2 linked regions of the Pelodiscus sinensis genome follow. The protein of the gene in region 2 interacts with the protein of the main gene of each other region in a biochemical or structural test. Links are inferred from orthologs where the notes say so. Each region holds a gene or a part of one and is shown on either strand. Other genes may lie near its edges.

Region 1 (7,319 bases), on a different chromosome or scaffold from region 2:
AAGGTCAATTTATGTATGGCTGGCAAGCTTCTGCCTTGAGCTGCCTTGGGAGCTAGGCTCCGAGTAGTCATGTAGGTTTCTCCATGGGGGTCTGTTTCTTCTCCATCTCTGCAGAATCTGTGATGATGCAGGATTGTAGCTTCAGGATAGTTAACCAAGGAATAGAGAGACCTGTCCTTTTACTCCTGTCTTGTTTTCAGCCACAGTCTCAAGATGAGAACTTTCAAGACCTTTGACTTCTATAAGAAGCACCAGAACAACATGACCCCAGCCGGGTTGGCATTTTTCCAGTGCCAGTGGGATGATTCCGTTACTCATGTCTTTCACAACCATCTCAGTAAGAAACTCACTTACTAGGGATCTGGGCCAGGGAGTCACCCTTCGCTTCCCCCTCCCCCCCCCATCCATCCATCCAGCAGTCGAGCATTACTAAATGTGTCTTGGAGGAGACAGTCATTTGGTAGTGCCTGGGGTTGGGAAAAGAGGACAAGAAGATGGAAGCAATTTGCTTAGACGTCAGACACACCTGACTGAAATCAGCCATGGCCATGTGGGCTCTCTGATGGAGCAGATGAGGTTCCAAGAGGCATGGGCGTGTGTGAGTGGAGGGTGAATTCAAAGGCCAGTTCTGACTTGCCCCTTTGGGGACAGTTGCTCTAACTGGTTTCTATATAGCCACGTATGCCTGGCACATTAGTCTGACACTGGGAACATTTACAGCTGAGCATTAGAAGCAGTTGGCCTATCAAAGGCTGCAGTGTGTTTGTGGCCATCTTAGGGTACATAATTCTGGGGGCTTCGAATCCCATTTTGACTGGGTACTTTAAAATAACAAGGGGAGAGGACGTGGCAGAGCGAGGTTCCATTGCCAGGCACTACATGTGTGGTTTTGATCTGTAATTAATCTCACATTCTGCCCTACGAGGGACGTGGGATCTTCTGAGCAATGGAAGTGGGGATGGGGGGTGATGGTGCAGGGTTAGGTTTTGAGAGGTCTTAGCTAATGTTCAGCATTGTTCCTTTGCAGACATGAAGGAGCCAGTGTTTGAGTTTGTGCGACCCCCTGTGTATCATCCCCGTCAGAAGAAGTTTCCACACCTGCAGCCTCTGAGGTACCTGGATAGGTACAGGGACAGCCACGAGCCCACATATGGCATTTACTAAGGCGTTTCCCACCACTCCAGGAGCTCCAAGCCACTGGGTCAGGAATACTCTACCTTCTCGACGCGTGTCAAATGCCTGTGCTGACGGGAACGTTCCATGACTCTGGGAGAAGGGGGATGTGAGCTTTCACAATCACAGCATGCTGTGGTCTAAGCTCGGATTCATTGACAACACTGGAAAGAATGTAACGGAAGTTTGCCAATATTTCTGCTATTGGTCGTTACCTTGGTCAAAAGCCTTGTTAATAAAGGATATTGTGGCCATGAGAGTGTCTCCACCTCTGCTCTGATGGCCTCTGAGCCAGATGCAAATGTTGCTGACCAGCCCAGTGCCCTCCAAAGGCACTGTATCTCACTGCAGGAGCCAGAACTCTAAGCATAGATAGCTGGAGGTGGGCCAAGACCCATCAGTTCAGGTCATGTATCCACACAGAGAGAAAAATACTTTTATCTAAATCCAGCCCCGTGATCTGTACAGCCCGGAAGAAGGGGAACTGCCCATTTGGTGCATTTCTTTCTTCCCCACCATGAAATTCCCAGTTCTGGGATTCTGGGCAGCATCCTGCATATTCTGTACAGATATTTTAACAATCTATAAAACACTTTCCAAATGAAGCTGATGATGTGAGTCGCTGACAGCTTGGGGAACCCACAGGCAATGTTCCCGCTAATTTTTTCCATTCTTGTGTGGAATACGTTTTATGTACACCAAGGCATATGTGGATGTGCACCACCATTAGCAGAGCACCCACAGCATGTGTTTCTAATCAGCTGGGCAGCAGTTGCATCTCTCCTGGGCAACTACCCAAGTGCTCAGCTTACAGGCAACTAATGCAGCAATTCAAAATGTATTACGCTCTATGTGCTTCAGGACTGATGCGATCAATGCTTTACGCTGATTTGATACTGCACTCCTGCACCCCTGTTGGTCATTGCCAGACAAGAGGAAATGCAGGGTTCTGATATAGACATCAGACTAGGCTGACTAGTCTGCCTACATTTTGAGAATGAGTATTAAGGGGACTGGGCTCTACTCTGAAATTAAGAGAACATGCAAAGCCCAGGCGTGTCCAAACCCACCACTTCTCCAGGCCATCAACAAGGTCTGGGTGTTGTTCTTAGAGATAGGTCAAAATCAGAACTCAGTCTGGGTCATGGCTGAGACATGTTGGAAAGTCACTGAGTGCGGGACGCTTTCAGCAGAGGCAACAGTGCATCTGCTGTGTAGATATATGGTGCCCACCAATTTCCACAGCTCTGACCCTAGTACCTATCACTAGCCTTAAAATTGGCCCCCCATTAGATTTGTTGGCTGCCCAAAGCGGCAGTAAGGAATCCCAGGGCAGCTGACTGGCCTGCAGTTGCTTCATCCATCGCTGTGTCACTGAGGATGCATGTAGAAGCATCAACACCCTACCTATGCCAGGACTCCAGGGCTATGTCTACACTCCTGGCTTCTTGTGCAAGTACAGCCGTTCTTGCACGAGAATCCGCAGAGCGTCCACACTGCCACCACCCCTCCTGCGCAAGGAAATTTACAGTATGGCATAAGAGAGGGCTTCTTGTGCAAGTGCTATGCTCTTTTTTCTCAGGTGTAAGCCCTCTTGTGCAGGAGCTCTTGCGCAAGAGGGCAGTGTGGATGCTGAGCAGGGATTTCTTGTGCAAGAAAGCCCTATGGCTAAAATGGTCATCAGAACTTTCTTGCGCAAGAGAGAGTCCACACTGCCATAGGTGCTCTTGCACAAAAGCAGAGCTCGCACATGGCGGTGTGGACCTTTTGTTGCACAAGATGTTCTTGCGCAAGAAGCCGCCAGTGTAGACAAAGCCCAGCTGAGTTCCCTGCAAGAACTCCTGTTTACCTGAGTTGCCTCTTGCTGAATCTGTGGTATTCCTCCTGTTGAAGGAGTAAAGAGTACTAACCAAAGACATTTAGGCTATGTCTACACTCGCGGCTTCTTGTGCGAGTAATATGCAAATGAGGCTAAGCATGGAATATTGCCGAGCCTCATTTGCATACCTAATGAGCCACCGTTTTTTTCGGAAGGGGCTCTTGTGCAAGGAGCGTCTACACTGCCCCTTCTTGCGCAAGAAATGCCCTCTTGCGCAATGCCGTTCTTCCTGAAAAGTAATAGGTGTAACCGCATTGCGCAAGAAGGGGCAGTGTAGATGCTCCTTGCGCAAGAACCTCTTCTGGAAAAAAATGGTGGCTCATTAGGTATGCAAATGAAGCTCAGCGATATTCCACGCTTAGACTCATTTGCATATTACTTGCGCAAGAAGCCGCAAGTGTAGACATAGCCTTAGTGTTTAAGTACCCACCCTTTTACATGCTCCCTCAGCGCCACAGCGATGGATGCACCAAGTGCAGGGCTAGTTGGCTGCCCTGCCTTGGGCAGCCAACAAATTTATGCTCACAGTGCAATATCCCTCTGAGGGAGGGATACCTCTGCTGAGTGAGCACAGGCCCCTCTCTGTCTCTAATGGGATAACATTGGCCTGACATTCCTCTAAATCAAACCACAGACCACCTGGTGCTGCATGGAGATTACAGACAGCAAATTGACTTGATATGTGGGGAGACTGTGTAGCCTGGAGTGTGGCAGAAATAAGAGCCTTAGCGGAAGGTCTTTATGGGGAGAGATGGGACAAGGAATCAGGGATGGAGGGGGGGTTTCAGCTCAACTTTTGCCAATGTTGATTTTGGAAGGAGAAGGACTGAGGAGTCCTGGGTGGTGCTGCCACAGGGTTTGCAAGTGGCAGGATTGTGGCTGAAGCTGGGGCCAGTCTCTCTATGTGAGAAGTTCCAGCCCATTTGCGCACTGGAGATTTCAGATTGGCTGCCTCCCGCCCATTGCCCAATCTCCTGCAGCAGAGCAGCCAGTCAGAGCTGCTGCAGGCAGTGCTCCTCCTTTCCCCTCCACCAGTAACTCAAATGTTCTCAGAGGAGGCAGAAAGAGACCAACGAGCCAGGTCCCTCTGAGCAATGGGGACAGCACCTCTGGTACCTCCCTACTACTAGCTGGCCTAGGAGGTGAAGAGCCCTTGCCTATGCCCCAGGCCCAGGAGAGGGGGGTGAACCACAAGAAGTGCACAGGTGAGGCTGGGAAATGGGGGATGTGAGCTAATGGGGGTGGAATTAATTATTGGGCAGGAGGTGGGTTAGATGGGCCAGAGAAACCCCTGCACAAGGGCCAGACTCTCATGTCCCAGTACATTTGGGAGAGTGGGCAACACTAATTGTCCCACACAGATTGGGCTAGGCAGGAGGTGGCTGACAATCAGAAATCACAACACTGGATGCTTTTTTTTTTCTTTAAAAAACATCTGGGGTCAGGCAGAGAGAGGATGGGGGGCGGGTTAAGGGTTAACTAGAGCTGGAGGATAAAGGGCAAAACAGCTAGTGTCTGAGTACAGAAGCAACTGGCTTTTATTATTTCCAGAGCGCGATGTGCAGAGACAGAGGTTTTAGAACAGGTAGTAAGTAAAGCAAGCGCATAAGCCAAGCAGAGCCCTGGCTGAGAGCTTGCAGCCTGAACGAAGTACAGCTGCTTGTAAGTGTTATGCCTCTGATCTCATGGCATGTGTGGGAGGAGAGTGCCTTGCATCACACAAGCAGTGGCACAGTTCTCCCTCTGATCTACCCCCATGCTCCCTGGACACAAAGTGGTAACAGAAAGACCGTTAGGTCCCAGTAGGAGTGGGTGGGACTCTGCTTGATCTGGAGTGGTGAGCAAAAGGGCAAGAAGTAGACAAAATCTTAAAGACATGTTCTGTGGTGATAAGATTCCACAGAAGAGCTTTGAACTCCCACCAACCCCAGTCTCAGACTGCATCCTTGGGATCTAAATATGGGAGGCTCCATCCTTCATTGGCTGTCCTAGGTGTAACGGTACTCCCCTCCCCTTGTATTCTCCACTGACTCCTCGTGTGATTGCATGTGGGGCTTGCACTCAGTCATGGCACTGGCCTCCGGGTTTGTGATCTGTGGAGCCAAGCTTTGTCATTGTAGGTGGGCGCTGGCTGCTGCTGAGACCTCCCAGATGCATGACAGCCTTTTGCAGTTGCTCTGCCTTCCCATAGCGAGGAAATGCAACATCCTGTTAGGTTGCAATGCATCTCCATGTTACATTTCACTTAGCTAGCAATCCCTGCCCAGTGCTCAAGGCCCCTGACCAATGCTGGGGCTCTGTATGGCTACGGTCTGCCCTGCTGATCCACTTCCTCAAGCCAGCAAGGACATGAGTGCTGCGTGCAGAGTCTCTGGTAGGTCCTCTCTGGTTTGCCAAGGGCTCTGCGTCCCACACCCCCCCGCCCAGCACCCCCAGCCTGCCCCTGCCCCGCCCCCTCTGCGTCCCACAGCCCCCCGCCCATCACCCCCAGCCTGCCCCTGCCCCGCCCCCTCTGCGTCCCACAGCCCCCCGCCCATCACCCCCAGCCTGCCCCTGCCCCGCCCCCTCTGCGTCCCACAGCCCCCCGCCCATCACCCCCAGCCTGCCCCTGCCCCGCCCCCTCTGCGTCCCAAAGCCCCCCGCCCATCACAATTCCAGCACAGAATTGTGGTCACTGTAATAAAACGGTGGGGGAGAGGGAAGGTGGCAAGGCTCTGCCTGGTTTGTAAAGACAAGCCCTGTCCCAGGAGAAAATGGCTGTTCGGGTTGAAAGCTGAGAACTCCTCTCAAGGGCTAAACAGAAAACAGCCAAAAAATTAGCTAGCAACACGAAGCTGAGCAAAGGCAGCTTTTCAGGCCTCCCCAGGCAGCCAGCAGTCTGAGGGTCTGGGAAATGAAAACCAGAAAGTCTCCTTGAGAGAGCAGAGAACAGGTGTTCGATAAATACAACGCCGCCGGCCTGTGTGTCCCTTTAAGAGCTTAGCTGGCTCTGTGCCCATCCCTCCTCTCTGCAAAGCATAGCTCTGTCCTAGCCGCCTCTCACGCTGCTGTTTGATTTCCTTCTCTGCCTCAGCTGCTCTTGGCCTAGCAGGATGGCAGCTCAAGGCCCCCAGAAGCTGGAGGAGAAGCTGGTCTGCTCCATCTGCCTGGAGATGTTTGGGACACCAGTGACCATGCCCTGTGGGCACAACTTCTGCATGAAGTGTATCAACAACCACTGGGACAAGGAAGAGATGACAGCTGCTCCGGGCGAGAAGGTTTGCACCTGTCCCGACTGCAGGAAATGCTTTGGGCAGCGGCTGGAGCTCAGCAAGAACGTTGCCCTTTGCGGCGTGGTAGAGCTGGTCAGGTCTGGCGAAGAGCAGGCCTCCAGCATTGAGAGGAAATCCCCCGTCAATGGGGGCAGGTGCTCCAGGCACGGGCGGCCCCTGGAGCTCTACTGCCAAGAGGAAAAGCTGTGCATCTGCTGTGTGTGCACGGTGAAGGAGTGCCGGGACCACCGCAGGGTCCTGGTCGAGGAGGAGCGCAGGAGAAAGGAGGTAGGGTTGGGCTGGGTCTCCCCTGTGAGCTGCGGGGCCCTAACTCACGGATGTAAAAGTTTAAAAAACAACACTAACCCTGTAACCAAACAAAATTCAATTGGTTACATGGGAAAACCTACCAGGGGCTCTTGGTGGCTGCCAGCCCTGCGGTCTCTCGGCAGCGGCCAGGAGTTTAACTGCTACGGTTAACCCAAGATTCAGCAGAACTAGCAGATGTTGCAGCATATTTGAACACTAAATAGTTAATAGTGTTGTGTGGCTGTCTGGTAACCAGCTCCCGGATTTCCTGCCTGCCTTCCGTGTGCGCGCAGCCATTCCAGAGCGGGACCCAGTAGGCATTATGACATGCACAGCCCTGCTCCTCCCACAGCTGCTTGAGAAGGCGACAGACACCCTTCCTCTGATGATTATTTAGGGCTAGCTGGGAAGTTGCCTGTGAGGGCGAAACTATAACCGGAGAGACCCAGCCTTGCAGTGTGAGAGAGAGAGGTGGAAAGACAGTGTCTGCTTCCTGTTGCCTGTGCTGCCTTTTAGCAGCCCAGTGCTGTCGCCTGCAGCCAGCATCCAAGCTGAGCGATTCCTCAATGCCTTTGTGGTGGAGCAAGACAGATTTGCAAAAGGGAAATAAAAGGCTTTCCATGTGAGGTAGCTCTCTCCAGAGACCTGTATTCTGTTCCCACGTGACCCAGGACAATGCCCTTCCCCCTCCATCCCAGTTTCTCCTG
Region 2 (7,682 bases):
TAAAGAGAATTGGTCCCCCTCCCCACCGAAATCTCTCTAAGGCTACAGTTTAATATGATGGTGATCACTCTAACACCTCTGAAAGCCCCAAAGCACAGGACCATCTCCATGAACCATTCTATGGGTGGGACACTGGGTGATCCCACTTCGGGGTGCTCTCTCTGCACTGGATGCTTCCCTTATCGTTATATAAGGTTCAAAGCAAATGAAATGTATTAAACAGCAATTTTTTAAAAATAAAGAAAAAATGGGAAAGGTTAAAAGGAAAACACATAACTCTACTCTGAGGCAGAGGACATCATGAGTGGCAGTCTCTGGAATGTAAGGGAAGTTCACACTCTGTTCCTTAGACATCCAAGGCCCCCTTCTCAGGCCCAGACTGCTGCAGGGATGCTGTGGGTTGGATACTTGCTCTGATCATGGTCACACATCTTCAGGCTCTAGGTGGCAGGACTCTTCTTACTAGAATCGGCTTCTCCATCAGGGATATGATTCCCTTCCCAGTCTAGCCTGAAAGAACTCTTGGCTAAGGGTGTCTCTGCATTGGGCCCTCTCTTCAGGGCCTCTCCCTCCAGGAGTGACGTGAGTGGGGCACAAAGGGTCATATGTCTCCCCCCAAATGCTGGGGGGAGAGGAGACAAGCAAGGGACTGGCAGGCAGAGCTGTCCTCTCCTATGGATGGTTTGTCCAACTGTCCCATGCCCTGTGCGTTGCAGCTAGCAGTAGGGGTCAGCCCTCAGTGGAATGACCTGGCCCCACCCCACTCTGCTCCCCTGGTTCCCAGCTGCATCACTTTTACTTCCTGCCACTGGTGATTGCAGGGGGCGGTTCCGCCCCTTTCACAAATCTCCTCCCTCAGCAACAGACCAGAAGATTAGCAGGGTCCTGGCTTCAGGGGTCAGAACTACCCCACACTCACAGGCCACAACAGGAAGTAGAGTGAACAAGACCCAGCACACTCTGCTTCTCTGACTCCCAGCTGTATCGCTCAGTGGAGGAGGCTTGTGGAAGGAGTGGAATCACTCCCCCGTCCTCCACACTCACCAGTGGCAAGAAGCAGAGCAATGCTGCAGGGAGCAGAGAAGGTTGCAGGCGGGTCACTCTGCTTGCCATCTCTGATGCCTGTGAGTACAGGGAGGGAGGGGCTGACCCCTGCTGCAGATGCCAGGTCTCCGTTAGTTCTCCCCATCAACATCATTTGTGGGAAGGGATTTGGGGAAAGGGATGGAATAGGACAGGGAGGGAGCAGATAGGGACAGGAGAGGTTGGAAGGGGCAGAGTTTGGGGGAGGAGGTGGAGTAGGGGCAGGGCAAGAAAAGGCAGGGACTTCCCCTTAGGGTTGCCAGATGATTTCAACAAAAATACCAGACACACTTGACATTATATTGCAATCTACATTCCATCTTATTTAGAAAATACCGGACACTTAAATTTGCTCATTTACGTTTTCTCAATTTGTTTCCTGGGACAGAAAGCTCAAATACTGGACTGTCTGGTTCAAAACTGGATACCTGGCAACCCTACTTCCCCTGGGCTAGAGGTTGCATGGGGAGGAGTCTCATGGAGGAAGTCACATGACCAGTGCCTTCCTTGCATCCTTCCCCAGTACTCACCATTGCCCTCCCCCCACTCCCTGCTGGCCCCAGTTGTTCACCACATCCCACTCCAGTGGGCTCCAGCCCCAGCTCCACCCTCCTCAGCATGGGTCCTGTTCTACCTTCAGCCCAGAGCTGCTTCTCTCACCCCAGTTGCTGCAGCCCTGCTCCCAGCATGGATCTTCTCCCTGGTGCTCTCTGATTGGCTCCGTTTTGCTCCTCAGCTCAGTTTGGGCCCCTGGTCTCTCCTTAGCTCGGCCCCACTCTCTGACCAGGCAATTCCAGCTCACACAAAGGATGGCCCCCTCCCACTCCCTCATTAGCCGGTTTTCCCGTCAATCACGCTGACTTGGAATGTTGGCTTCTCCCTATTGCCCCTGGGGACTGTCCCTCTCAGGGTCCTGATTTCTCATTGACCCTTCCTTTTGCTACTGGCAGCTAGTCAGCCCCCAACCCTATTGAGCTGTAGCAAGGGGCCAAACCGTCCTTTACTGGAAGGGGCAATTAGGGGAAACTGGGGGCGGAGGGAGAAGAGGGCAGCAGGAAATGAGGGCGCAGAGGAATGGGGAGACCCTTGGGAACACTGTGACGGGGAGATGTACAAGTTAGGGCAATCATCCAGGGCAGTCCTCGCCCAGCACTGGGAGGAAGCACAGTTCTGCAGAAGCGTGGTGGCCACCGAAGTCACCACACAGCTGGCGGGAGACTAGGAAGGCCAGGGTCGGCTGCCCGGGCTGCAGGGAAGGAATCCCAGAGCCAGCGCTTCTCCGGGGGCGGGGCGGGAAGCAGAAGGGCTCGGCCTGGGTGCAGCTTTCCTGGGGCAGCCTGGAGGGGGGCAGAGCGACCTACCCGTTCATGGTCCTCATCCTGCAAGAGTCCCTTCTCCACACACTTGTTAGTGACCTCCGGGCTCATCAGCTTGTCCACCAGGGTGCCATAGAGCAGCTGCACCATTTTCACGCACATGTCGTGGTCGGCCTCCTCCGCCGGCGAGGGCAGCTGGCTCAGGCTGGGGTTCACGTAGCAGACGGCCATATCGCTGCCCCCCTGCTGCAGCGCGGTGACGAACTGCTGGATCCAGCCCGGCTCCTTGCAGCCCCGCTCCACGACCCCCAGCAGCTCCCCAGCCGCCTGCTGCTCGCCCCCCTGCCGAGCGACCGCCCGGATCCGCTCCTTTTCCTGCACGCTCAGCGTGTCCAGACAGTCCAGCACCGGCACCACCCGTATGTACTGCGTGAGCCGGGTCCTAAAGCAGGAGATCAGATAAATGAACTCCTCTTCGCGGGAGGGGGCCGACATCTTCTCTGCGTCCAGGTTCAGTGGCACGGCTGGGGCAGTTAGGAGTCGCTTCCGGGAGTCTCCAGTGCCCAGGGAGGAGGGAGGGTCCCGAGCTTCTCCGGCACTCAGCTCCTAGCTGCTTGGAGCGGGCAGGTGGCTGCGGTTCTTCTTGGGCGCCAGTGCAGCCACACAAACAGCTTGGTGGACGGGTGAAACTGCTGGCTGGGCACGTCTCTCCGAGGTACCCCGCTCCGTGCCTCCGAGGTTTTGCTGAGCTGGAGCTGACCACAGCGCTTTTAAGCTTCCCCAACCGGCCGCTTTCGGTTTCGATTCCTGCGGGCTGTTCGGTTTCCAAACGAAAAGGACTGAGCCATCTTCCTGAGTCCGCAGGCGGCCAGTCCCATGCTTCACTTTTTAATCTTTTCTGTGCACCCCCATGACCAGTTCTGTATAGATTCCTATCCCACCCACATCCCAACAACCTCTGCAAAGATTAAAAAGACAAGGACTGTTCAACTTAGAAAAGAGACATTTAGGGAGTTATTGATTGGGGGGGTCTATAAAATCAGGAATGATGTGGAAAAAGTGAATAGAGAAGTTTTATTTTTTTACCCTTTCACACAATACACAAAAATTCAATGATATTAATAAGTAGCAGATTTAAGGCAACAAGAGGAAGTACTTTTTCACACAATGCACAGCACAACTAGCCTGTGGAACTTGTCATGGGAGGTTGTTATGGACAAAAGTACAGTTGTGTTCATAAAATAATAAGTTCATGGAGGATATGTCTATATGCAGGGCTGGATGGAGGCATGGGCAAGCCGGGCAGCTGCTCAGGGCGCCAACCCAGATGGCAGCTGTAAGGGACCCGCGGCATCCCTTGCAGCTGCCATTAGGAGCTGCGCGCCCGGCTCCCACAGTGGCTGGACAGCAGCGCCCTTGCCCCTACGGTTGCAGGGCCATGCATGGCCCGGCGCGTGCACTAGCAGCACTGGCCGGGTTGGGCAGCGCATGCGCCGTGTGCCCCACGGGCGGGCCTGTGCATGAGCCCTGCGCCCGGGGGCAGCGCCCAACGTGCCAAAAGGGCTCAGGCCAGCCCTGTCTATAAGTGACTATTAGTTAAAATGATCATGGGCACAACCCCATGCTCTGGCTTTCCCTAAACTTCTAGAAGCTGGGACTAGGCAATAGGAGATGAATCACTCAATAATAGACCTGTTCTGTTAATTCTCTCTGAATTATCTGCTACTGGCCACTATGGGAAAACAGCACACTGGCCTAGATGGACTATTGGTCTGACCCAGTATGGTCATTCCTATGTTCTTACATAGAGCTGTAATTAGATATGAACACAGAAACTCTCCTCTGTTTATTTTCTCTTCTAACACTGTTTGTTTTCTGTTTCCCTTTTTTTGTACTTCCATTCTGGGTTTTGGTTTCAATTCACTCTGTGCAATTTAGTTTCATTGTTGTCTCTTATCATTCCTTTTTTATTTCTGGTTTGTTCTATGTCCCTTCTGAAGCTCCTTCTGTCTCTAAGATTTCATATTCATCCCCCTCTGACTTTCCTCTTATACTTCTCTCCAAAACATCGTCACTATCATCAGTCACTGCACTTTCCTTGTATTTTTACATTTTCTGATTTTGGCTGTCATTTTTCTTCACAATTTGGAACAGAGTTTTCCAACCTAAAGATCCTTGTTGCTAAGTAACATGGTTATTCACCCTTACTTTTTCTGAGCATCCTAGTTGCCATGGCACCCTTGGTTAGCACAAGCACAGGGTTATAGATAAATAGATTATAGGAATGATAGTCAGATCTGTAAAGGTATTTAGGTACCTACAGATTCAGATAGGTGCCTAACCTTAGGTACCTCATGGGATTTTTGTTTAAAAATCTTTACCTTTGAGTAAGAGGGTGAGTTTCTTTCTGTAAAAATGTCTACACCAAGACATGCAGGAATCCATTCTATATACTGTATGTGGAGTTTTATAAAAGTATCCTTACAGTCACATCTGACAGCAAAGCTATACTTCCCAACAATAATGCTTCTATTATAACCCTGTTAAGGGTTGGGTTAAGATACTTTTGTTTTAATTTGGCTAAAACCAGGAATAAGCATGGTGGCTTATCTCCCCAGGTAAGAAAAGACTGATACTACACACAGGGACTAGGAAAGTGAACAGGTAACCAGTTAACCGTTATCAAGTAAGCATCACTCTTCCTGGGTGATGCTTACCCAGTAATGGTTAACTGACTCCCAAGAGTAGTCCCCCGCCTGTGGCCCACCACAGGCAGAGGGCTGCTCCAGCCCTCCTGTGCCCACTGCACCACAGGGCAGGATGGGAGCTTGCAGCCCTACATTGAGCCAGGAGCTCTGTGCGGGATGGGGGTGGGGAGAGAAGGCTGGGCCCAAAGGGGACAGCAGAGGCAGCACTGCTGGGTTTGCGTCCCCCCCCCATTTAATTGGTTAACTGATTAATCCTAAGGTTTAAGCAGTTAACTGATATTACATCTCTACTGGGGACTAGATTCACAAGGGGATTCATGCATTGTGACATTCAGCATTACCACACTTAAAAGTTGCAGTTAGTTTGCTGAGGGCTTGGCTACCCTTACAGTGCTGCAGCCGAATGTTTCAAGCTTGGTGCAAATAGGCACACAGGCAAGACTGGGGACTTTGAGGCAGGAATGTTTTTACACAATCATGCATATTCAGCATAGTACACCCTGATCACGCCAAAAGGAGGAGTAAAATGGTAATTTTATTTCTGATCATCAAAAAGCAGATGCAGCCATAACATTGTTAACTACTAACATAGTTTTGCAACATCCTGAGTATCAGGGTGTTCTCCAAATAAGGGTGTGTTAGGTATATTACACAATGGCTGTGTCTACATTGGCAAGCGCCTGCTTTTGTGCAAAATCTTGCCGCCTGTCTACACTGGCCGCGAGTATTTGCGCAAGAACACTGACGTGGTAATGTACAAAATCAGTGCTTCTTGCACAAATACTCTGACGCTCCCACTCAGGGATAAGTCCTCTTGCGCAAATATTCTTGCGCAAGAGGTCAGTGTAGACAGGCAACCTTAATTTCTTGCGCAAGAAAGCCCGATGGCTAAAATGGCCGTTGGAGCTTTCTTGAGCAAGAGAGCGTCTACACTGGCACGGATGCTTTTGTGCAGAGGCACATGCCAGTATAGACGCTCTCTTGCGCAAATACTTTTAATGGAAAAACTCTTCCGTTAAAAGTGTTTGCACAAAATCATGCCAGTGTAGACGCAGCCAATATGTAATCAATTGTAGATATTATTAGAATGACCACGTTGAGTATAAATATAGGAGTATAAAGAATAAGCAGTAGGGGGGACTGAGCAAGGTATTCCCACATATCTTGCTTGCAGCAACTAGAAGCTGAACCATTCATTTCGGTAGATGCATTGTGGGTGCCTCTATGCTTGGGGAAAGAGTGAGGCCACGACCTCCTGTCTGGCAGTTGTAAGGCTGCTTACAGTTGAACTGCGTGTGATTTATAGAAATAAGTACATGTACATCTATATCCTTAAAGCTTCAGAGGGGTAGCAGAGTTAGTCTATAGCTGGAAAAACATTGAATAGTCTATCAGCACCTTCAAAACTAACAAAACATGTAGACGGTATCATGAGCTTTCGTGGGTACACAGATGAAGAAGTAGGTTGTACTCACGAAAGCTCTTGATACCAGCTACATGTTTTGTTAGTCTAGAAGGTGTTGCTAAACTATTTGTTGTTTTTCAAGTATATCCTTAAAGTTGCATACCTTGTGTATTGTCCAGCTGGTTTTGGAACCCACAAGGGGAAAGGCTATTCTTGATTTAGTCTGGATCTGGTTCAAGAGGTAAATATAACTGGACCGCTTGGAAATAGCAACCATATTGTAATAAAATTGAACATCCCTGTGGTGTGAAAAACACCTCAGCAGCCTAACACACTAGCATTTAATTTCAGAAAGGGGAATTATACAAAAATGAGGAAGTTAGTTAAACAGAAATTAAAAGGTCCTGGGACAAAAGTAAAATCTCTGCAAACTGCATGGAAACTTTTCAAAGACACCATAAGGCATAAGGATCCTGTGCAAAACAGGGTTTTTGCGCAAAAAACCCCCTAGCCACATTACTTTTCCCCCCAAAGAAACCCTTTGTGCAAAACCGGCGTGCAAAGATTATGCAAATGAGGCATGGTGATATGCTAATCCATGTCTCATTTGCATACACACTGCCAGCAAAACCGGCAGTGTAGACGAAGCCCTATCGGATAGTAACTTAAAAGTTAAACACCCAGAATACAGCATAACTGCAGCTACTGTAGGAAAAGACCTTATGTTATCTTTTCCCCAGTGAGACTGTTTGCGTAAGGATGAAAGAATCTGGCTCATAAAGAGATGTTTGCAAGTCTATAGTGCCTTTCATCAGAATATCTCTATACCATTTACAAACCTTTAACCTGAAAAACAAGTAGTCCTGAAAAAGTAGGTTTTGAACATGAAAGCTCATACTTTATATATATAATTTCCAAATAACTCCCCTCATTTCAAAATAACAAGCACAGCGTCCACACTACCAAGCCTGTTGTTTCAAAATAACTCCTGCTTGTCATGAGGAATAACACTTATTTCAAAATAGCTATTTCCAAGTAGCATTAGTGTAGAAGCTCCACTGCTGCTATTTTGAAATAACTATATACCCTAGTGTTTCCTGGGGCTCTAAGTCGAAGTAACACATCCACATTAAGGGTAAGTCTACACTGCAAAGTTATTTCGGAATAAGC

Evidence for each region.
Region 1: of the proteins of IFIH1 (region 2) and TRIM65, one has a biochemical effect on the other in vitro, tested with the Homo sapiens proteins (2 studies listed by BioGRID, with this or other methods). The link is inferred for Pelodiscus sinensis from reciprocal best matches to the Homo sapiens genes IFIH1 and TRIM65.

The regions. Positions count from the first base shown.
Region 1 is NC_134730.1:11,107,215-11,114,533, forward strand, and holds the start of TRIM65 (E3 ubiquitin-protein ligase TRIM65), read left to right. Parts: upstream 1-4,110; 5' UTR 4,111-4,257; intron 4,258-5,221; exon of another isoform or gene 5,222-5,426; intron 5,427-5,804; exon of another isoform or gene 5,805-6,125; 5' UTR 6,126-6,144; coding exon 6,145-6,591; intron 6,592-7,319. Other genes in the region: FBF1 (fas-binding factor 1), read left to right, coding at 201-337, 1,028-1,164. UniProt on the Homo sapiens protein: E3 ubiquitin ligase that plays a role in several processes including innate immnity, autophagy or inflammation.
Region 2 is NC_134717.1:34,874,019-34,881,700, forward strand, and holds the start of IFIH1 (interferon-induced helicase C domain-containing protein 1), read right to left. Parts: upstream 3,203-7,682; 5' UTR 2,895-3,202; coding exon 2,445-2,894; intron 1-2,444.